3 linked regions of the Stegostoma tigrinum genome follow. The protein of the gene in region 3 binds, or shares a complex with, the protein of the main gene of each other region. Links are inferred from orthologs where the notes say so. Each region holds a gene or a part of one and is shown on either strand. Other genes may lie near its edges.

Evidence for each region.
Region 1: the proteins of naa35 (region 3) and naa38 are in contact, whole or in part, in a cryo-EM structure (PDB 7MX2), measured with the Homo sapiens proteins. The link is inferred for Stegostoma tigrinum from reciprocal best matches to the Homo sapiens genes NAA35 and NAA38. Residues at the interface, in NP_001308810.1 of Homo sapiens: Val30, Asp31, Ile32, Thr33, Phe36, Ala39, Cys40, Leu43, Leu45, Glu47, Leu48, Leu49, His50, Asp51, Phe54, Glu58, Ala59, Ala62, Ile63, Glu64, Met65, Met66, Ala72, Gly73, Met74, Gln306, Arg307, Leu309, Pro310, Pro311; in NP_001307854.1 of Homo sapiens: Ala41, Arg42, Leu45, Glu46, Leu48, Leu49, Arg61, Phe67, Leu68, Cys69, Thr70, Asp71, Arg72, Cys74, Ile77, Arg97, Val98, Leu99, Gly100, Leu101, Ala102, Met103, Val104, Pro105, His108, Ser111, Ile112, Glu113, Val114.
Region 2: the proteins of naa35 (region 3) and naa30 are in contact, whole or in part, in a cryo-EM structure (PDB 7MX2), measured with the Homo sapiens proteins. The link is inferred for Stegostoma tigrinum from reciprocal best matches to the Homo sapiens genes NAA35 and NAA30. Residues at the interface, in NP_001308810.1 of Homo sapiens: Leu45, Gly46, Leu48, Leu56, Ala59, Met60, Ala62, Glu64, Lys69, Glu121, Phe313, Pro314, Arg315, Ala444, Leu510, Glu511, Leu512, Glu517, Pro605, Lys606, Phe607, Glu608, Leu609, Asp610, Val614, Arg615, His618, Arg619; in NP_001011713.2 of Homo sapiens: Glu221, Pro238, Ser240, Tyr242, Thr243, Arg245, Tyr246, His249, Asn250, Lys304, Ile324, Glu334, Asn335, Leu336, Gly337, Val339, Arg340, Asp341, Lys342, Arg343, Phe345, Arg346, Tyr347, Tyr348, Leu349, Leu359, Trp360, Leu361, Arg362.

The regions. Positions count from the first base shown.
Region 1 is NC_081398.1:14,296,593-14,304,577, reverse strand, and holds the start of naa38 (N-alpha-acetyltransferase 38, NatC auxiliary subunit), read left to right. Parts: upstream 1-4,902; 5' UTR 4,903-4,916; intron 4,917-7,985. Other genes in the region: cytochrome b5 domain-containing protein 1, read right to left, coding at 726-944, 3,007-3,083, 4,399-4,828.
Region 2 is NC_081363.1:49,433,186-49,440,360, reverse strand, and holds the start of naa30 (N-alpha-acetyltransferase 30), read right to left. Parts: upstream 3,003-7,175; 5' UTR 2,633-3,002; coding exon 1,844-2,632; intron 1-1,843. UniProt on the Homo sapiens protein: Catalytic subunit of the N-terminal acetyltransferase C (NatC) complex. Catalyzes acetylation of the N-terminal methionine residues of peptides beginning with Met-Leu-Ala and Met-Leu-Gly.
Region 3 is NC_081356.1:58,904,681-58,911,978, forward strand, and holds the start of naa35 (N-alpha-acetyltransferase 35, NatC auxiliary subunit), read right to left. Parts: upstream 3,084-7,298; 5' UTR 2,996-3,083; intron 631-2,995; 5' UTR 626-630; coding exon 502-625; intron 1-501. UniProt on the Homo sapiens protein: Auxillary component of the N-terminal acetyltransferase C (NatC) complex which catalyzes acetylation of N-terminal methionine residues. N-terminal acetylation protects proteins from ubiquitination and degradation by the N-end rule pathway.

The sequences.
Region 1 (7,985 bases), on a different chromosome or scaffold from region 3:
CAGCTCCCCCACCCCCACATCCAGTCCTGAAGAAGTGTACTACCTGAAACGTTGACTGCTCCTTTCCTCCAGATGCTGCCTGGCCTGCTGCATTCTTCTAGCCTCCTGTTGGTCTACCTGGATTCCAGCATCTGCAGTTTTTCTTGTCTCTAACTATGTTTACCTCTACCATTTGGTATTCTTACACTGTTGGGGTCAGCAAGTCCTCCTTCGCTGAGTTACTTAGCAGTCTCAATCTTTTTCTTGCAGGGATAAATCTGTACACTAGACCGGTGTCTCTGAGAGCTTCTCCCTCAGGGAGCTATACGTACAATGATTGGTGTCTCTCAGTCATTCACTCTGCAATCAGTCATGTTTCTGGAGGGTTTTGTTTAACTGCTGAATGTTTGGATGTAAGACTCTGCACCATTTTATGTGTCACCTGAAAACAGATGGTTTGAAATATTGATCAATTGTCAGAACACATTAGTGACTTCAGCTTTCCTGAAAGCAAACCCTGTCATGTGACAACCCCCCTCCATCTCAATCAAATTCCTTCCTAACTCAAAACAAACGCCAGTTAATTTTTTAAAAATGAAGAAGTGCATATGTAGCAAATCAGAAACAAGACAAAATTGCTGAAAAAACTCAGCTGGTCTGGCAACATCTGTGGAGAGAAAGCAGAGTTAATGTTGTTAGACCTGCTGAGTTTTTCCAGCAATTTCTGATTAATTGAAGCTGCATACCTCAATCACCTGTTCTTGACCTGTTAGCGTGTTGATAATACGGATATCTCTTGTTTTTTCAGTTAAATATCCAACCTCATACTTTGGATCCTTCCACCATGGCGTCCCAAAGGCATTAGACCAATCACTCATTGGCATGAGGGGTGGAATGTGAGCAAAGCGTCCACGAGGAGTATGGTACTTCTGGCAATTGGCGAGCTGGTCAATCTTGATGCGAATCTACGTTGGGAATGAAGAGATTCCTGTTCATTGCTCCATTATTATGGTACATAGTGCTGCTTGCTATTTTGTGGCCTGTTCCCCCTCCTCTCCAGCTGACAATTTTACACAAGACTAAGTTATATCTGTGCCCAGAGTCCTTCAATGCTCCTAGTCCAGCTCTGTGGCTTAGTGGTGGGTGGTGGTAGTGGTTGGGGGGGGGGGGTTCATTTCTGTCAGGAGGATCGGGTCACAGAGACTTATAGGATTACAGAACAGTGACAGCAGAAGGCCATTCAGCTTATTGTACTGTGCTGGTCTTCTACACAAGCAATCCTGCTAGACCCCCTCCCCTATCTTTACCCTAAGATGTCCAAATCTTTCCTTTTCAGAAAATGTTTCAAATTTCTTTCGAAAACCTCACCTGAAATTGTCTCTACCACTGTCAGGCAGCACATTCAAATCCTATCCACTCACTGTGTGGAAAAGGTATTCCTCTTGTCACAATTGCTTCTTTCACCAACCACTTGAAACTTGTACCCTCTTGTTATTGATACCTCCTCCAATGAGAAAAGTTTCTCTCTATCCTCTTGATTAAATCTTCTATTAGCCCTTTCTTCTCTATATTTTTCCAATCTCCCTTCGTCACAGAGATTCCTCATTCCTAGAACCATTTTTGCCCTTTCTCACTAAAGCCTTTAAATCCTTCTTAAGTGCAGCTCCCTGAATTGAAATCTGGTTGAGACTGATGTTGTGTTCCATACAGGTTATTATCACAATTTCCTTGCATTGAAGGAATATGAGAAAATTCCTCATTGCCTCCAAAACACCAAAACTCGGCCCTCAGCTGACTGAGGAGAAGAGGATCCAAAGACTAAAATTTCAAACCAGACTAAGGTCAAATTTTATTGGGCAGCAATGATCTCCAGGCTCCCATATGCTTTGGCGACTTGCACAGCATACAGCCAGCACCTCACAAGACTGGAGAAGCACCACCAGCATGGCCTTCATAAGAGTCTCCAAAACCTGTGGTGACACTGGGAATCCAGCAGCACACTGAGGCATTAATTAGTCCAAACCAGCTCCCGTAGGTAGGACATGCCATTTATATCTTTGGCAGCTGACTCTGGAAATCACTACACTATTCGGAGCAGCAGAAATGCTTTAGGGTGGTCCTCAAAGCCTCCCCAAAGTGGTTATACATTCCCTCCACCATAGCCTTTCTTCACCTGGCGTGCGACCAACCGAAATGGGGCAGATTCAGTTGGGAAGGCGCTAATACGCTGAGAGGGTTCATTGGGAATGTCAGATGCCATGCACAAACTTCACAACAACCCAAAATGTTCAACCCAATAGGTGCACATCTAAATACTTCTTCAACGTAATGATGGTTTCTGTCTCTACCACCTTTAGAAGCACTGAGTTCTAGATTCCCACCACTCTGTGGGTGAAAATCTTTCTCCTTACATGTCATCAAAGCCCTTACCTTAAATCCTCCCTGGGCATTGATCCCTCCATCAAGGGGAAAAGTTTCTTCCTGTCTACCTTATCTACGCCCCTCATAATTTTATACACCTCAATCATGTCCCCTCTCAATCTCCTCTGCTCAAAACAGAATAGTCCCAGTGTGTCCAATCTCTCTTCATAACTGAGACTCTCCAGCGCAGGCAACAACCTGGTAAATCTCCTCTTCACCTTCTCCAGTGCTATTATATTTCTTCTGTAAAGCAAATTCCAGAGCTTCGCACAGTACTCTAGCTTTACCAATGTTTTATACAGTTCTTTTTAAAGCACAGGAACCTGGTCAACATTTTGTGTTAGATTGATTCCATCAGAGAGATAAACCAGGGAATTTGCATGCTTTGATTAAATCATTAAGTTCTGTAACAACGCAGTAGTGGATTTTGAGAATCAATGTACTTTCCCAAGTATGCTAAACGCCAGGTTAAATATGGATAGGGCGATGCTGGGTACTGTAGTCCCTGGTCAGATGGTGAATTATTAAAATTGTTGCTAAAATGCTTTGGTTGATGCTCATTGTCTTCAGTTTCATTTCCCCTGGCAGCTGAGATTCCATACTTACATCTTTACGCTTCTCATCAAACCAGTGGCTGATATCATGTCCAGCTGCTTCTAAAATGGGTTTCAGTAGAATGTCACCTGGATAAGAGGGAGAATACAGAATCAGCACAGCCTGGATATAGCACAAAAGATACTGTCTGCCAGCTATATCTTCTGAAAGGTATCTACAGATGTAAATGAAGTGCTTTCCATGCCATCAATTTTGAACCCCGAATGGCCAATTAAACCAGGGCCAACAGGGAGGAAAGATGCAAAATTTCGAGGTCATCACTAAAAGAAGATTTGTATTGACATAGCGCCGTTCATGACCATTGGAGTCACAGGGTCGTACAGCCCCCCGGCAGATCAAAGTAATTTTCAATCAATAAAATATTTTACAGTACATTGTTGTTGTTATGCCAGAATCACGTCATCTCATTTGTGCACAAGAACGTTCCACAGACAGGAATGTGATAATGGCCAGATAATTATTTTTTAAACTATGTTGGCTGGAGAATGAATGTTTGCCACAGGTCTCTAGGGAGAGTCCCGTCCCTCCCCTCCTCACAGCTCTGCTTTGAAATAGCAGCCACAGGATCTTTTTCAAGGGCAGATGGGGCCAACTCCCATTTCCCCACCACCCACTAACCTAAACTGCCTGCTGGTCCAGATTTTAAAATTCTCACTCATTGTTTTCAAATCCCTTTATGGTTTCGTGCCTTCTCTGTAACTTTGCCACTCTCTTCACCCCTTCCCATCTCTGTAAAGTCCTCCAGCCCCTACCTCCCTCCCAAACTCTGTGACCCCCTCGAGTCCAAAATTTCTACACTCCAACAACCAATACAACCCTTTCGTGCATCCCCCGAATCCCAGTACTCCACAACTGGAGGCTGTGCCCTCAGCTACTGGACCCCAAACTGTGGCATTCCCTCCTTAATCCTCTCGGGGCTTTGGTCACCGGCTGTAATCTTTCCTTGTGGTTTAGGCATAGAACCACATAGGTTCAGTAATTGCTCGCCTGAAAGTTGTTCCTTTGACCACAAGAAGGGCTCAAGTTGTCGTTGTGGAGGTTGATGCCGGGCTGAGTGATGAAGGTGGTGCTTCACAGTGCCAGGGATGCAGGTTTGATTCCACCCTCGGGTGACTGTCTATGTGGAGGTTGCACATTCTCTCTGTGTCTTTGTGGGTCCCCTCTGGGTGCTCCGGATTCCTCCTACTGTCCAAAGATGCAATGGTTAGGGTGGATTGGCTGTGCTAAATTTCCCAGAGTGTCCAGAGATGGACAGATTTGGGTGAATTAGCCACAGGTATTGCAGGATTACAGTGACAGGGTGGGATGCTTTTTGGAGGGTCGGTATGGACTTGTTGGGCCGAATAGCCTGCTTCCACACTGTAGAGATTCTGAGCTCTTCACCTTTAAACTGTTCGGCTAAAGGGGTCAGGTCATAGACTTTTCCCAAATAGGAGACCCACAAATCATTCATGGTGTTATGGACAGCCACTTCCCGACTGCTGTAGTAGCGGGAGTGCAGCATGGTCGTGGGGTGCTTCGCTCCTCCTGCTACTGCTGCCTCCTCCGTCGCCATGGTGATAGTAACAGGAAGTGGCTCGGGGTACAACTTCCGGTCCTCGGAACTACATCTCCCAGGGGGAAGCGGAAAAGCTGGGTTTTTTTTCACCAAAAAAACCGCTGGATTTTTAATGCGACGCCGCCGCTGCAGCTTTTCCTTCACAGCTGCTTTTCGTGAGTAATTTTGCAGCGCGGGGACTGCGCGGTGCATGAGGCTCGGTTTGAGGCAGGAGAAAGCGGCAATCTGTGCACTTCTATCGTTTTCTTTTAACATGCCTTAAAATGGCGGCCGGAGCTGAGCGTGGCCTCGCCTTGAGGGGGTGGAGGGACAGGGACAGGGACAGGGACAGGACGCGGGAATGGTGAGGGAGGTGAGGTGTTGGTTGGGGGATGGTGCCCAGAGCCGGGGGGGGGGGGGGGGGGGGGGTGATTGTGGTGCCCAGAGCCTGGGGGGGTGATTGGGGTGCCCAGAGACCGGGGGATGGGTTGCCGGGGGCAGGGGTACCGGGGTGGGGGGCATGGTTGCAGGGGGCTGGGATATGAGGGGGGGAGGGGAAGGACATGGTTGAGGGGGCAGAGATACCGGGGGGACCTGGTTGGGGGGGGGGGCAGAGATATGGGAGGGGCATGGTTGGCAGGGGCAGAGATACAGGGTGGGATGGTGAGGGGGGGAATAGAGAGGGGGTGGTGGGGGGAATGGTGAGGGAGGTGGAGGGGTGGGCAGAGAGATGGTTGGGGTGGGGAATTGTTGGGCGGGTGCAGAAAGATGGTCCCGGTGGGTGGGGACAGAGAGACAATGGAGGGGGAATGGTGAGGAGGTGTACAGGGAGACGGTGGTGAGGGGGTAATAGAGAAATGGTGAGAGGGGAACGTGGACACAGTTGGGGGGGGTGAATGGTGAGGGCGTGACAGAGATGGTGGTGGGGAATGGCAAGGAGGTGGAGCCGTGAGGGGGCACAGAGACACGGTGTGGGGGAGTGGTTGGGGGCTAGAGAGATAGTAGGGGTAGGGCGGGACAGAGAGAGACAATTGGGGGGAATAGTGAGGGGGGGGTGTACAGAGAGATGGTGATGGGCAGTGGTGAGGGGGGGGTACAGAGAAATGATGAGGGGGGGGACAGGGACATACTGAGGGGGGTGAATGGCGAGGCGGGGGGCGGTTCCAGAGAGATGGCAGAAGGGGGAATGGTGAGGGGGGTGACAGAGAGACTGGAGGGAGTTTGCTGAGGTTGGGGGTACAGAGACATAGAAGGGGGAATGGCGAGGAGGGGTTTGGCAGAGAAGCGGGAATGGCGAGTGGCGGCCAGACGGCGGGGGGGAATGGGGGGGGACAGAGATGGGGTGGGAGGGTGGGTGGCGACAGAGACAGTGGGGACATGGGGTGGGGAGTATGGTGGGGGTTGTACAGAGAGACGGTGGGGGAGGAATGGAGATGGTGAGGGGGCAGAGAGACTCTTGCGGGGGGGTAAGGGAAATGCGGAGGGAGTTGGGTGTCGTGGAGACGGTGGTGGGGTGGTCAGGGAGACAGGAAGGAGATGGGGTGGCGGGGGTGGGGGGAGTCGTCTTGGGGAGAGGAGAGAGACAGCAAAGGTGATAAATGAAATAACTCCATAAAGGCTGATATCCCGTCACCAAGTCACCCTTTTTATATGTATGTGTACAGCACTGTACGCTGACCCAGCGTGCTCAAAGCCAGCTCCAAGAATGACCAGGTCCCGACCCAAAACATCAACTTTCCTGCTTTTCTGCTGCCTGGCATCTCTCACACTCCTGTATATGTCTGTCATCCAGGCTCTTGATTGGATCAGGTTAACAGTGCCAAGGTTTTACATTAGATTTGTAGGTTGGGTTGTGGATGCTGTGGTTGGTTGGCTTGCTGAGCTGGTTTGTTGTTTTTCCACAGACATTTCATTACCCTACTGGGTAATATTATAAATGCAGCTTCCAATGAAGCACAGAGATAATGGGAACTGCAGATGCTGGAGATTCCAAGATAATAAAATGTGAGGCTGGATGAACACAGCAGGCCAAGCAGCATCTCTGATGAAGGGTCTAGGCCCGAAACGTCAGCTTTTGTGCTCCTGAGATGCTGCTTGGCCTGCTGTGTTCATCCAGCCTCACATTTTATTATCCAATGAAGCACAGTTGTGTTTTCCCACCTGTTGTTTAAACTGTCGGGTCCACTGAGGTGGATTACCTCACTTCTGAGTTTTCCTTCGCTATGGAGTATAGAAGAGATCTAGTTCTATGTGTCTGTTGATGACTTTCTTGGTGGAGTTCCAGGCTTCTAGGAATTCCCGTGCTTGTCTCTGCTCTGCTTGTCCCACACTCTCCGACACACTTGTCACGGTACCTTACGCATCGGAACTAACCACAAGACTGAATGACCACTGGGCATCAGAGTAGCACACAAACCCACATCAACTCTACGACAATTGCTCAATCGAGCGAAAGACCCATTACCCACAATGGACAGGACCAGTGTCATATACAAGATTCCCTGCAGAGACTGTGACAAACACTACGTCGGACAAACAGGAAGGAAATTAATTTGGGTGCATGAACACCAATTGGCTACAAAAGGACATGACCAATACTCACTTATCTCTCTCCGCATGAATAAGGAGAACCACCAATTTGACTGGGACAGCATCAAGATCCTGAGACAAGCAAAGCAGGGACAAACACGGAAATTCCTAGAAGCCTGGTACTCCATGAAGAAAGCCATCAAAAAACACATAGAGCTTGACCCCATAGACACACCACTGTGAAGAAAATCCAGAAGTGAGGCAATCCAGCTCAACAGACTCCAGAGTTTAGATAATAGGCGGGAAATCACAATGGCGCTTCGTTAGAGGCTGCACCGACGATATTACCTAGCAGGGTAATGAAACGTCTGCGGAACAACAACGAGCCAGCTCGGCGAGCCAACCAACTACAACATTAACAGCCCCAGTCAGGGAACTATTTTATCAGGTCCACCTGGCTGACCTCATTCAAATCAGTAAGCTGAGGGGAGAGAGAGATGATGGAAAGATGGCAGGAACTGAGGTGTGATGGAATTACTGGGGCATGGGGGTGAGTGGTAGTGGAGTGTGAATGGGGGAGATGGGCTGGAGGGCTTTCTGGTTTGTGTTGGGGAGATCGGCAGGGGGATTGATCACATTGGCATGTGATGGGGGAGTTGGGCAGAAGGACGTAATGGGGTGTGATCATGAAGATGGGACGGGGTAAGGTGGAAATTGGACCAGAGTATGATGAGGCAGACCTGGCAATGATTGGACATGCAAAGGAGTGAGAGAAGGTGAAGGAAATAGGACAGGATGAAACCAAGGGATTGGGTGAGTTGGAGAGGGCAGGAAGAGGGAGGGAACTGGGAGAGATGGTGGTGGGAACGGGTTGGCAGGACCTTGGAAGATGGTGGAGAAGGCA
Region 2 (7,175 bases), on a different chromosome or scaffold from region 3:
GGTCTGTGACAGATCAATAAAGCTTACATAAACCTCTGAATTTGTTGCCCACAAATTTTTAGGATTTACTGAGTGCCAAAGATAGCGTTTTGAGATTACCTTTGAAGGTTGAAAACTGCCTTGAATCTCTGGAAAAATGTTACTGACATAAATCTGATGGTTCAGGATGATTCATGTGACAACTTTCAATTCAGTATATTGAAAATATGTAAACAGGTGTTTGTTGTTCACATTACAATTTCATCTGTGCTGGGGAGACCAAACATTTTTTGAGCAACTACTTTGCGAAATTCTTTACTTCAAGCAAGCATAATTGAGTTTTTAATAGCATATCATTTTAATTCTCCACTTTGCCCTCATGCTTACAGTGCTGCCTTTGGCCTACTAGTGTTCCAGCGAAACTCTGAGCAAGATGATCAGCATCTCTTTCAATCAGGCACCGTAAGCCTTCTGGGTTCAATTCTGGGGTTTGAAAATTTTCAGAGGATGATCTCTTAGAAAATACAAGGGGAATTGTTTGGGTAAGTTTCTAATATCTCCCTGATATTCTCAAGCAACTCACGGCATAACTTGAGTGTGACAGAATCCTGCAAAGAAACAGCAGCTACTGGCAGTGAGATCTGAGGTTCAACACACAGCAACACGTGAGGGCTCTCACTTAGATCAAAAATGCTGAATTCATGTGGAACTCGAAACAGATTGAAAGAATGGGCTCACTTGGCACAACAGGAAAAATGAGAAATGTAGCTCACTGCGAAAGAAAGTCTTGAGTTTAACAGTTCCCAGGCTGAGAAAGAATTAGAAGTAAACTTTCAGGAGCTAAAAAAAAAAATCACTGGACTGGTTCTGGAAGAACTGAATATATACACCTACAAAAGTGTATACTTACAAAAAGATATCTGTAAACAGTGTTTTGGGTTGTGCTAAAGAAAAACAGGGAATGCTCTGTTTTGTGGCATAGAAGATCACTTTTCTACAAAGATTTATCAACATTGTCAATAATCTTTACTTAAGTAATGGTCTTAAATATGAAAACTTATGTCATTATTTATGTTATTAACTGCAAGTTTCTATTTGCTTTTAAGAGTTATCAAACTCTCAAGAAAATCATAATGCCATGCTAAAAAGAAACAAGTATGGTTAAGTAGCGAGGTGCCACATTTTCGGCTTGCAATTTAAAAAAACTCAAAGAAAGTCTCCATGCTGTAGTCACCAATGAAGTCTAATAAGATTATAAATATTTTGCACCGAATAAAAACAAACATTCAAATCATCTCCACTGTTCACAGTGGTGTTTCAGGTAAAAGCAGAAAGGCCGAGAGGTGAAACAATTTCTACGTTATGAGTTTCATCTATAGTAGCTACAGCAATTCAAGTCATCCTAAGACGATGTGGCATTAACAACAGTGCTACTTAAATAAAGTCTGTCAGTATAGCAAATTTAAGTTTAATAATATACCACAATTTCAATGGATTTTAGAACAAGCCTTTGAACTCTCCATCTAGTCTTTCACATGAATCAGAACTGCAAAGTCAAGGTTATTTGTCACATTGAGGACTATAAATAGCATGGCAAATTCATTCTTTTGCAACGCAAGTTCTCAAAGCCTAGATGCTTACAAAAATAAAACTACTCATTAACATGACGACTATTGATAGCAACTGAAAGTGTGGGAATCAGCATGCAAAATGCCAAAGTGACCTTTCCTTGGCAACTCATTTTCAGTGCTTACAAAAAATAAGGTCTTACATTCGGGACATTTCACAGGCTTTTCTATTAAGCGCATTATTCTCGATATACATACGTATACTACATAGTCCCCTACCAACATACCACACTTACCAGAAAACAAAGCTGCGGCCAGTTGTGAATAAAATATCTATATGTATATATGGAATAAGGTTCAGACAAATCTTTCGTGATCAATCTCATTATATCTGGCATTTGCAACTCTGACTCATAGCCAACATATCGTATCCTGTCGTTCGAGTCGGGCTCTTGTTGCGGGTGCAAACTACAAGCAGCTATCGAGGCGGCCAGGCGGTATTGCTCATCGTCATCTGGGCCGATACCAATCCGGTCGAGTCCATCTCTGGGGTTGAGTGTGTCAGGGCCGGCCGCCTCGGCAGTCCTTTGGCTCGCATGATTCACATTGGGACTCTCACAATATTTGCCGTCGGCTTTCCTCCTGCCTCCTTCGGAGAGTGACAGTCCAGACTGAAACTCGACGGCAGTGGCGGCCTCAGCGCAGGATAGGCGGCCTTTGCACTCCGCCTTGTAGTGGAGCTCAGGGTTTATAACACAGCCGTTGAGCAGCCGCTGCTGCTGTTGGTGGTGGTGGTGGTGGTGGTGGTGATGATGGTGGTGAAGGTGCAGGACGCCCTTCTTGGCTCGGTTAGGCTCCGGGCAGTTTCCGACACTGTTCGCCGAATGTGGTCCGCCTTCCCCGCCGCGTTCCTGGCCAGCCCCGTCCACAGCAGTCGCTTCCTCCTCCTCCTGCTCGCCGCCCCCTCCTGGCTGCTGCCCCGGGACCTTGCCGTACGCTCCCGAGTGGTTGAGAGTAGCGGAGAGGGGCGAGATGTCACTGGGGGCTGGGGACAGCACGCTAGGCCCGGGCGGTACATCAGACATCCTAAAGAGCGGAGAAACGCAGGGTCGGCATGAGGGCCAAAAGCAGCGGGGGGAGAGAGAGAGTGATCTAACCGGGAGAACGGGGCGGGAGGGGGGGGGGGGTAACCAGGAGGGGACTCACCGCCCGCCCTCAGCACTCACACATCCTACAGCCGGCCGGACCACACCAGGCCAGGCTGCACAGGACCGGGACCTGTCAAGCAGGGCCCGACATCCACACAGTCAGGCAGGGTGGGAGCAGGGGAGGGGGAGAGAAATCAACTCGTTGCCGAAGTGAGGAAGCCGGCCACTGCCTGCTCCCTCATACAGCCAGCCACTCGAGGCCGTTTCCACTCTCAACCTAGGCACTGCCGTAAAGTGAGGCTGCCGCGCGGCCCCGCCGCCCCATCTACGTCATAAATGCGGCTTCCCGTCTCGCCCTGAAAGTTGTTTTTACGACGTTGACCTTTAACCGACGCCGATTGTGCGTCGGGAAGGAGGATTTGACGTGAGGTTTTGGCGAATGGCCCTTGTGTTCTTGGGGAGAAGATAGGAGTTTGTGTAGTTCTGAGTAAATATCATTGAGCTAAATGCAGCCGTAATCTTTCCCTCCCTGATGAGTGATTATGTTTCTGTTTCTGTTTCTAGTGTGAGTTTGGCCTCTGGAAACTGTTTAAATCATTCCCTAGCTGCAAGTGCCATTTTGTGTCCACTGAGCCTTTGCTTTCTTCATATTGCAGTTTGTGAGTTAAGCTATTGTGTCTTCTGTCAGCCTCAAATCCAAAATTAGAATTTATTTGATTTTAGTGAAACACGTGTTTTATTATTTGCGATAACAAGGTGTAGAGCTGGATGAACACAGCACTCCAAGCAGCTTCAGAGGAGCAGGAAGGCTGACGTTTCGGGTCGAGACCCTTCTTCATTCTGCTCTCTTTTAAAATGTCATCCTTAAGTGTATATTTTCACAGCTATTGTAGCTGAAGCTGGGTAACTGTCAAATATACAAGGGACTGGCCTAAAATGCTCCCGAACGAATCCTTTTCCAAACACGCTAATACAACTTGCACATCGGATTTCATCGGCAGTTCTTACTATCTCTCAGTATAAACCCCAGGTGTTTTTGTCGCATCCTCAATTGGTGTTGAAAGTATCAGCCCAATTGTGTGAAACAGTGATAGGTGCTGGATATGCGGATGCGGGCTGACCACTGTGACCTGACAAAAAGTGGTTTTGACACCGATTCACCGGAATCAAAACATTCGCTGTTGCTGAAACATGTGGGACGCAAGCTTGCAGGATTTCATTCAAAGGCGCCCTCTCTACTAAACATTCATAATAAGTGTGTTAAGTGCTTAATTAAAACACTGGAAGGATGAATTTCAGTGGATTATGCTCATATCCCACTGGGTAACATCGTTGCCTAATTAAAATCTAAAATCTATATCCAGTAAAGTTTAAATGAGTGCAGATTTAAGGATGCCATTTCACAGTGAAACACCTTTCCACAATGCACTTATTTATAGGAAACAGTAAGAAAATGTTGTGCGTATATATACACCACAGGCCAGAGATAGAGATGGTTCTGGGCCTGAGGTGTTATATTGTTTTGGCATTTGTGGAGAAAACAATGAAGTTCAAATGGGATACATTTTTTTCAGGGCTGAAAAATTTGATTTAGCAAACACACTAATTAGGAGAAGGCCATTCAACCTCTCAAGCCTGCTCTACCATTCAAATATCTTTCAAGGAGAAATAACCCTAATGGAGACTACTTGGTTACGGGCAGAGTATTGCTGTCTTTCATCTGCTTTTGTTATTCCACAATTGATTTTTCAGAGATTTCTGAAGTTTTTTTTAGATGATAAGAATACATTTAACAGGAAATGCATAATTCCCCTGTTAGCTGCAATCCTCAAGAATAAACAACACACCCTGAGGGAATAATTTGCTTTATAAAAATGTAGGTCAACAAGTATGGCATCAAATGTGTTTTGCAAAGTAAGCACAGTCTATGTGTTTATACTTTCTTAGTAACTGGTTGCAAGCTTTCTGTGGCCACTGTCTCAGGTTCAACTGTACTGTGTTTATGTTGTTTCAAATTTGCTCGAACTGAGCTGCTGACCCCATATGAAGAGAGTTAAGAATGGCTCAGCATTTCAATTCTGGTATATTGAAGCAGCTCAACTATCTAAACTTGCTTATCTTAGGCAAAAAAAATGATAATGAAAATCATGAAATTATTTAAAATGATGAATAATAATTTTTGAAGTGACATTCTTATTTTTCAGTTGTTCCATTTATTGTTACTTTGGCCCATTCTCAAACTATCCAATGATGTATTGTTTTGGTGTTCAGTAATTTCTGCTCAGTTTATTGTGCCTCAACTGCCAGAGCTCAATCCCACTCCAATGCTAACCTTGTTATTTGCCGGCGGACTAATAATTTGCTTTTCAGAAATACCTTTGGTGCCTTAGAGCCATGGGCTTCTGACCAGCTATCAGTGCTCATGTACTGCTCTGCTACCTACAATTTTGCCAGCTCTTGAACCGTCTATTTTGTGCCCTACTCCATGACGCTCTGTTTCAGGAGTTTCATCTATTAAGTAGTCCTGTTTCCCTCTTATGTCCTATTTGCTGTGTAGTTCACGCTGTCTCTCTGTTCTTCCATGAGTGCTTGTATCTGTTTTAGCCCCAATTCTGTATTCTCTATTCTTGTGCCCATTGCAGTCATTCTGTTAGTCTGCAGTGTGTTACTCTTCCTTTCAACTTTAACTCTTCTTGCAGTAAAATTTCTTCTCTTTCTCCTTATGTCCTGATGTCTCTTTGCTATTTAATATCTGTTCCTTTATCTAACTTTGCTTCTATCCATTTATATTCCTTTTGGACAGCAGCACTGTACTTGGTCACGCTACTTCTATAAACTCTTCCACTTCATGTTACTGTGAACCCAGCTGATGTTACTACTGCACAAGTCAGAACCAAGACTGAAATTTGGCTTGAAAGATCATATTTTGGTTTAACCAAGATGTTCTGTCATGGAAGCACAAGCATGCAACCCTGCACGTTTGGTTTTAACAATAAAATAGGAGTATTTATGCAAAGAAATGAAGATAGTATAAATCAGTCTCTCACTGAAGAGAAATCCCTTCTATGGCACATCCGTAGGGCTTAAGAAAATTGTGGATTCAATTCCCTGTCCTCAGAATCTGATAGCTTTTTAGTTGACTCTTCATAAAACTTAGCTTAGACTTTCTGATAACCTCTTCAGGATTTTAAATTAATGTTTCTGGTCTGAAACCTAAAAGATAAACTCTTCACATTCAGATAGTTTAGAACTATTAAGAAATAAGCTATTTTTCTTTATCAGGAGAAACGGCCTTATACGTCCAACTTCAGCCAAAACTTCTCCAAACCTTGAATTGAAACTAAAAAGCTTTTCCAAGGAAAGAACATCCAGTTTCTAGAATCTTCTAACTGAAGTTTAATGCACTGCACAATTTATTCTGTGCTCGTATAATTCTCCCAATGGAACCAAGTCCCCACTAGCTTCCAAGTGCTCTGTCTCTAATACTGATCATTGTGGCTGCAGAAATATTTAAATGTTAATCATTATAGGTCTTCACACACACAAATCTTACTCAAAATTTAGATTAATTGGTATAAGGGTAGATCAAATGAAGAAAATGGGATCTGTACCATTAGGGATCTACAACTGAACTGTACAGGAACTGTTGTATTTGGGAAGTTATGAATTGAGGAAAAAGGGAAGGCAACAAAGGAAGGAATTGATGTGGGAAATGATAAACAAACAATGACAGGAAAGGACAGAGTGCAGATCCAAGAGCAGATTGTCGGCTAAGACTGAAGATAATAACAGGACAAGACTTAAAACACTGTATTTCAATGCATGTATCATTCACAATAAAACAGATGAACTAGTACAAACTGAGACGTGTACAATCCAGCAGTCATAATTGAGATGTGGCTGCAGGATGACCTGGAGTGGGACCTCAATATTGAAGGCTGTATGACATTTAGGAAGGTCAGGAAGTTAGGAAATAACTTGAAAAAGATGATATTAACACAAAAGAGAGGGATGACTTAAGCTCAGGAAATTAGTATATAGAAGCAATCCGGATAGAGATGAAGTGATAATGGGAACGGCAGATGCTGGAAAATCCAAGATAATGAAGTGTGAAGCGGGATGAACACAGCAGGCCAAGCAGCATCTCAGGAGCACAAAAGCTGACGTTTCGGGCCTAGAACCTTCGTCAGAGAGGGGGATGAGGTGAGGGTTCTGGAATAAATAGGGAGAGAGGGGGAGGCGGACCGAAGATGGAGAGAAAAGAAGATAGGTGGAGAGGAGAGTATAGGTGGGGAGGTGGGGAGGGGATAGGTCAGTCCAGGGAAGACGGACAGGTCAAGGAGGTGGGATGAGGTTAGGTAGGAAATGGAGGTGCGACTTGGGGTGGGAGGAAGGGATGGGTGAGAGGAAGAACAGGTTAGGGAGGCAGAGACAGGCTGGGCTGGTTTTGGGATGCAGTGGGGGAGGGGAAGAACTGGGC
Region 3 (7,298 bases):
ATTAATGTGTGCCATGTTAGTGATGCTCACATTCCCAAGATCTCCAAAATAAACAAAGATTTTGGGAGCTAAAAAGGACAGAAGCAGAAATTTGGAAAAGGTTCCGTAGTTGGGGAAAAAAAAACAGAATATATTTACTCTACGTTTATGGATTCTTGGAGACTGTCAGTAAACATATGAATTAAGAACAGATGTAGTCCATTCAGCCCCTCAAGCCTGCACTGTCATTCAACAGGGTTGTGGCTTGGAGACTCTCAGTAAACATATGAATTAAGAGCAGATGTAGTCCATTCAGCCCCTCAAGCTTGCACTGTCATTCAACAGGGTTGTGGCTGGTCTGATCACAACCTCAAAATTTGCATTCCCACCCACTTCTGATATTCTTTCACCCTTTTTCTTAACAAGAATCTATCTACCTCTGCCATAAAAATATTCAAGGACCCATGCTTCCACTAGCTTCATAAGCAACAAGAAAATTGCACAAAATATCTATAAATTTACCTTTACAGCAATCCTTGAATTGCTTGGTAATGTCAACCCAGTTTGCATTAATTTTTTCCATCTTTTCTGAGATACCAAGTCCCCAGCCAATATCGTCTTCGTCCAAAGATGCTTTAGTGACCATGATAACTGTGGACATCAAACCATACAAGATAAATTGGGTTAGATTCTTCAGCAGAGGAGATTTTTCTGTTTCCTGTTGACTGGAAGCCTTTACACAAATCGAAGATTTGTCTTCACTACAGGGCTCAGTAATAACAAAGATTTTCAACCTTTTCCTGAGACCTCCAAGGACAGTATCAACTATCACGGAGAAAGCACTGTTGTTTTATTAATTACAGCAATAGATAGGCAGATACAGAATTGATAAGCTGGGAAGACATGGCTGATTGGGTCTGTGTTGGAAGGACGCAGTTTCTCAATATTACTGTCTCTAATCATTATGCTAGGGGGAAGGAGAGGTCTTCATTCAACACACCTGAAATCAAACTTGCCCAATCCTCCACCATCACAATGGGAAGAATGAAAATTTCTCCCGAGTAGTTCCATCTGCCTCAAAACAGATTAATGGGGAATGGCCACATTTTGCAACTCTTTGGCCTCTTACTTCTTTCCTCCCATGTCTATGTATCAGATTTCATGAAAATTCTACAGGCACACATTGCTTCTGGATGAAGATGGCTTCTCACTTTCTCCCCATTATAGAACTTGTGAAAGTTTTCGCTTATCATTATTGATGACCCTCTTTTCTCCTTTGCCCAATGGAGTATGCTACAAACCAAATTAAAATGTTCTTTTCCCCAGATTCTGTTACCACTTCCCTGTTCCAGCGTCTTAGACCATAACAATACTATCAGGATCAGCAGTGGCATCTCTTCTCACCATTCAGCAATTGATATTCTCTTCAAAAAACAAGCCGGCTGATAAGAGTCAATTATCCCATTCTTAAGCAATATAATTCAACAGATATTAAACACTTCACACTTGGAAACATTTCACCAGTTACAAATTGCCATTCTAAAAGTGATTTGCTTTTACTAATCTCTGTCTGTTAACCAATCTATGTTGATGCATTATCCATTAACTCATGTGTTCTAATCATGAGTAACTACCTATTACGGTGATACCTTATCGAATTTGGTCTGAAAATTCATTTATAACAACATCCATGGAGGGGCTCATTTGGTGCAGTGGTATTAGCCCCTACCTTCGGTGCAGAAGACTCACCTACAAGGGCTTGTGGTGTTCGAGGCCTGGATAGAGATTGGGTGATTGGCAGAAGCAGAGAATGGAGATAAAGAGGTCTTTTTCAGGATGGTAGCAAGCGTCTAGTGGAGCTCCACAGGGATCAGTGTTGGAACCATAAGTAATCATGTTATACATTCCAATTATTTGGAAGGAGGAACTGATGGCATTGTTGCTCAGTTTTCAGATGATACAAAAATAGGTGGGGGTACAAGTAGTGTTACGGAGGCAGGGAGACTACAAAAGGACTTGGACAGGCTAAGTGAGTGCACAACAAAGTGGCAGATGGAATGGAATATGGGAAAGAGAGTTTATGCACTTTTGTAGGAAGAATAGAGGTGTGGTCTATTTTCTAAGTAGGGAACGGCTTCAGTAAAAGATCAGGATTCTCAAAATTAACATGCAGGTTCAGTTGGCGGTTAGGAAGGTCAATGAAATATTAGCTTTCATTTCAAGAGGACTAGAATACAACAGCAAGATGTACCACTCAGGCTCTGGTCTGACTGCATTTGGAATATTGTAAGCAGTTCTGAGTCCTGTATCAAAGGTTGGATATGCTGGATCCCCTCCCACATCAGAGGATGTTTATAAGAACGATCCTGGGGGTGAAGGGCTTGTCATTATGAGGAGCAGTTTATGACTCTGGGTCTCTACTGAATGGAATTTAGACGAATGAGGCGGAATCTCATTGAAAAACTTATAGGCTACTGACAAACCTGGAAAGAGGGGCCATGACGAAGACGTTTCGACTATTGAAGAGAACGGGAGCCAAGGGCACAGCCTCTGAGTGAAGAAATGATTGTTTGAACTGAGGATGGTGAAATTTCTAGCCAGAAAATAGTGAATCTGTGGACCTCCTTGTCGCAGAAGGCTGTGGAGGCTGTTTTTGACTGCGTTTAGGCAGAAATAGATAGGTTTTTGATTGGTTAAGGGATCAAAGGTTATAGGGGGAAGGCTGGAAAATGGGGTTGAAAAACATGTCAACCATAGTAGAATGGCGAAGACGACTCCTTAGGCGGAACGGCCCAATCTTGCTCCTATATTTTATGGTTTTCTTTAAATCACGTTCATGCAACTATTAATCCATTGCAGAGGCCATACGTGTAAAGTCGAAGGTGGATGAAAATTGTCACCAGTTGCTCAAATTTCCATACATGATTTTTCGAGGAGGTACGCGGAATGAAGCATATCTAACTGAATGACTACTTCTCCCTACAGAAGATTGCACCGTTTCATCCTCTCTCCTTACCTTGAGAGTGAAGCTACCTTCAGCACATCACCGTGACCTGGGTAGCCGAAACCATACTTCAAGTTCGTCATTCGGCTGCCGCTGCGCTTCGCATTTTGGGAACTGTAGTCCTGACCTGGGCAGGAATAACGTCCACGCCATGTCTGGAAAATTTCCCTGGAACTACAAATCCCATCGGCGCCACAAATAGCGAATTATCGCGAGGACCAGCTCGAGTCTGCGGAATGTGAATTTGACCATTTCCTGCAACGGAATTCTCCCCGGCAGCCGTGGTTGTGGTGGTGGGGGTGGGGGTGGGGGGACCGGAAGAGCCGGGGAGGTAAATGGTTAATGGTGTTAATTGCTATCATAGCCTTTACTTGGACGTTCTGGAGTCTGTCAGGAGATTACTCATCCATCGAGATCAGTATGAGAGAAAGAGACTGTATGTGTAAAGTGCCTTTGACAGCCTGAGGGATTCCCTGCCAATGAAAGTAAGTGTGGTCACAACAACAAGCCGCGTCGCTGTCTGAGCTGATCAGTATTTCAATGGGTTAGGATATTGGGATTGCTCACCGTTCTCCTTGTGCAATGGATCTGGACTCTTATTTGATTCAGCTGAAAGTTTCACGAACGATGGTTTCCATCTGCTGCATATTGATGCTGGCAACTCGGCAGAAAATATTTTTTTTGTAGGCACTGTGCGATTGCCCTGTGATTGTCTGCCACTTTGCGCTTTTGTTCTTATATTAAATTCTAAATTCTCATGGGCGCTCATACGAGACCCAGCGCATATTCGCAGTTAAGGAATACCCACCTTGTGGGAAGTGACGAAAGTAAAGTGCTGATGAAGACCTGCAGGTCTGGCAGCATCAGGTAGAACAGAATTAAGTTTGTTTTACATTGTTGTAGATAGTAAAATTGGTCAGCCTTGTTGTGCCATTATTTTACAACTATTTCAGCCATTAGAAAAGAATAGTCTTTTTTTTTGAAGAAGAGTTCAGACCCGAAACGTCAACTTTGCTGCTCCTCTGATGCTGCGTGGCCTGCTGTGTTCATACAGTTCGACACTTTGTTATCTCAGTCTTTTTTTTGTTCTTAGTTTCTTGCCTTTTGTATCCCCATTCCTATTTTTGATGGGATCAATCAGAGAATTACCCTAAATTTATTCTGTGGATAAATTGCTTTTATACTTGTGTTTTACTTTAATATTTGTGCAATCTGGGGAGGAGGGTCTCCAGAATGCTGTTTTAAATTCTGAGGACAGGATCACCAATTAGTAAGACCATAAATAAGAAGTAGGAGCAGGCCATTCGGCCCTTTGAGCCTGAGCTGCCATTCAGTAGGGTCAGAGTTGATCCAACATCCATCACCTCCACTTTTTCTACCTTATCCACATAATCCTTCGTTGCCCTACGATCAACAATCTACCTCATGCAGGCCAGTCGAATTGGATTTATGTTTATCATGCATGTGTTAGCTTGTGTCAATATTGCATATGATCAGCTGCGGGATTTAATACATACATAAGGGACCTTGAAATCTGCCTTAGGAACAATATTAACCTCTTGTGAAGATCTGTAGCCTGGGTTGTGGATGAAGTTGTTGGCTTGCTTGCCAAGCTGGCTAGTTATTATACAGATGTTTCATCACGATGCTAGGTAAAGTAATCAGTGTGGCCTCTGATAAAGTGATATTGTTCTACTCTGCTTGTTATTTATATGATCAGGACTGTGAAGTTGGGTTGTCTGATTTCTGATTCTGTTCTGCATGGGTTTTTGTATGGGGTCTAATTCCATATGTTTGTTGATTGCCTTACCAGTTGAAAACCAGGCCCCTAGGAATTCCCATGCTTGTCTGTGGTTGGCTTAAGCTAGGATGGTCACATTGCCCCAGTCATTTTGATGGCTTTCATTGTCTCAGTGTCCATCAGTTTAATTGGGATAATGTTGGAATCCCTGCAAATTATCATGATCACGCCAATTCATTTCATCTCCTCTCACTTAAATTAGAGGGAAATAACAAGATAATAAAGCAGTTTAGAAATGGGGCAATGATTACCAGAATATGCCTGGAAGGAACACAGGATACAAACTTACATGTGCATTAATACTTACAGCCACTGATTGTGAAAATGCTAAGAAGACATATTTAAAACAAACATAGATAATGCTCAAGAAACTCTCCAGGTATGGCAGCGTGTGTCAAGAGAGAAAAATACAGTTAACATTTTGAGTCTGGCATGACTCTTTTTCAGAACTGAAAGGCTTTTTTTTAAAGAAAACCATCCAACAGCTAAAGAACATGAACATGAAAATTCCTTGGGCAGATGGAATCCTTGCTGAAATTCTGAGACGCTTGGCATGACTGCATAATCTTGTGTCCTTCATTTGGGAAAAATAGCACATAACAAGTATTCTGAGAATCACTTATCACAACTGTATTCAAGAAAGGAGACAAGCCACAGTGAGCTAACTACACTTGTCACTGTCTTGCACAGGGAGTATCATTGCAAAGTTTCTTCAGTCACCTCCCCTGGTGGAGCTCCTTCCTGAGTTTTGGTGAAGTTTCTGCCCATCAAGAGTCACTGGTGTCATGGCCTTTATAAGGTGACAAGTCTGATGAAGAAAAGTGCAAGGAATTACACCGATCACTCCATATAACATTTTTTCAACCTCCTGAAGCCTTTCACTCTGAGCCTTTAAAGGCTTATTGAATATCTGTTATATTGGTGCTTCCTTTGGAATTAGGGATTATACACATGGTAAATGAGTGGTAAATCTGAATAGGAACACTTTGTTGATGATGCTCACACCTCTACAACCAGTTCAGGACTGTACTCAATATTTGTTCCTCTGGGTCACCTGACCAGCTCTCTTAAAGGTCTGGTAACCCTCACAACTACATTCATAATAATAACCTACTCAAATTTAGCTTCTTTCTGAAAGTTCCATGATATCATACAGGCTGGAATCTTCACAAACTGAAACACTACACATTCTGCCACAGTGAGAATTGGGGTGAAAAAGATTGTGACATTACACCAACACTCTACGGAATATGGCTGTTGGTAGTAATATAGTTCTGGGTGCTTTTACCCAGCTGTGATGACCGAGTGATAAAGATGTTGTATCTAAGTGCTGTATGTGGAATTTCAAAGTGAAGTTCAAACACAGCTTTCAGAGTCCATGATAGAAATGTTTATCTTTCAATGACTCTCAGACCTTTAAAGCATCACAGTATTTCTGTAGTGTGCTTTTCATGTTTACCAGATATGAAAAAAGATGCACAGGAGTAGGGCAGTGCTTTGAACCCAGTCCATGATTCAATGAGATCATGGCTAATCTTCTACCTCAACACAATTTATTTGCATAATGCTCACTAATGTCCATCAGGGAAGGAAATCTATAATCTCCCACCTGGTCTAGCCTATGTATGACTCCAAACCCATGGCACTGTGATTAATTCTCAGTTGCCCTCTGAAATGGCCTAGCAAGCCACTCAGTTGTATCAATTGCTAGACAGTCTCAACAAAGAAATGAAACCAAAAAGACCACCTGGCATTGATGTAGGTACTGGAAAAGATAATAGCCCTGTTGATCCTTCAATATCCTCCTTATTATAAGCTGGGGGTAAGTGCCAAAATTGGAAGAGCTATCTCATAGACTAGCCAAGTGACAGCCTCATGAAGTCATATTCATGGAATCATACCTTACAGACAGTGTCCCAAACGCCACCATCACTGGATATGCCTCGTCCCACCAGCAGGACAGATGTAGTGGAGGTGGTGACACAGTGGTATACAGTCAGGAGGGAATTGCCCTAAAAGTCTTCAACAATGTCGGTGAACACTAGGAAGCTTCATGCCTTCAGGTTAAACATGGGCAAGGAAACCTCCTGATTACCATGCATTGTCCTCAGTCAGCTGATGAATCACTACTCCTCCATGTTGAACAACACTTGGAGGAAGAAATAGCAAGAACTGTAGTCAGAGACAATACAGTGTAGAGTTGGGGGAATACTGCAGGTCAGGAAGCATCAGAGGAGCAGGAAAGTTGATGTTTCGGGTTGGGTCTGGAGGAAGTACTGATGGTGGCAAAGATGCAAAATGTACCCTGTTTGGAGGAGAGTGGCTTGTCAGCACTACTGATCAAGCCATTCAGGTCCTAAAGCCTTAGCTGCTAGACTGGGTTTTTGGCAGATGGTGAGGGAACCAACAAGAGGGAAAAATGTGCTTCAATTTATTCTTACCAATCTGCCAACTGCGGATGCTTCTGCCCATGACAGTATCATTAAGAGTGACCACCACACAGTCTTTGTGGAG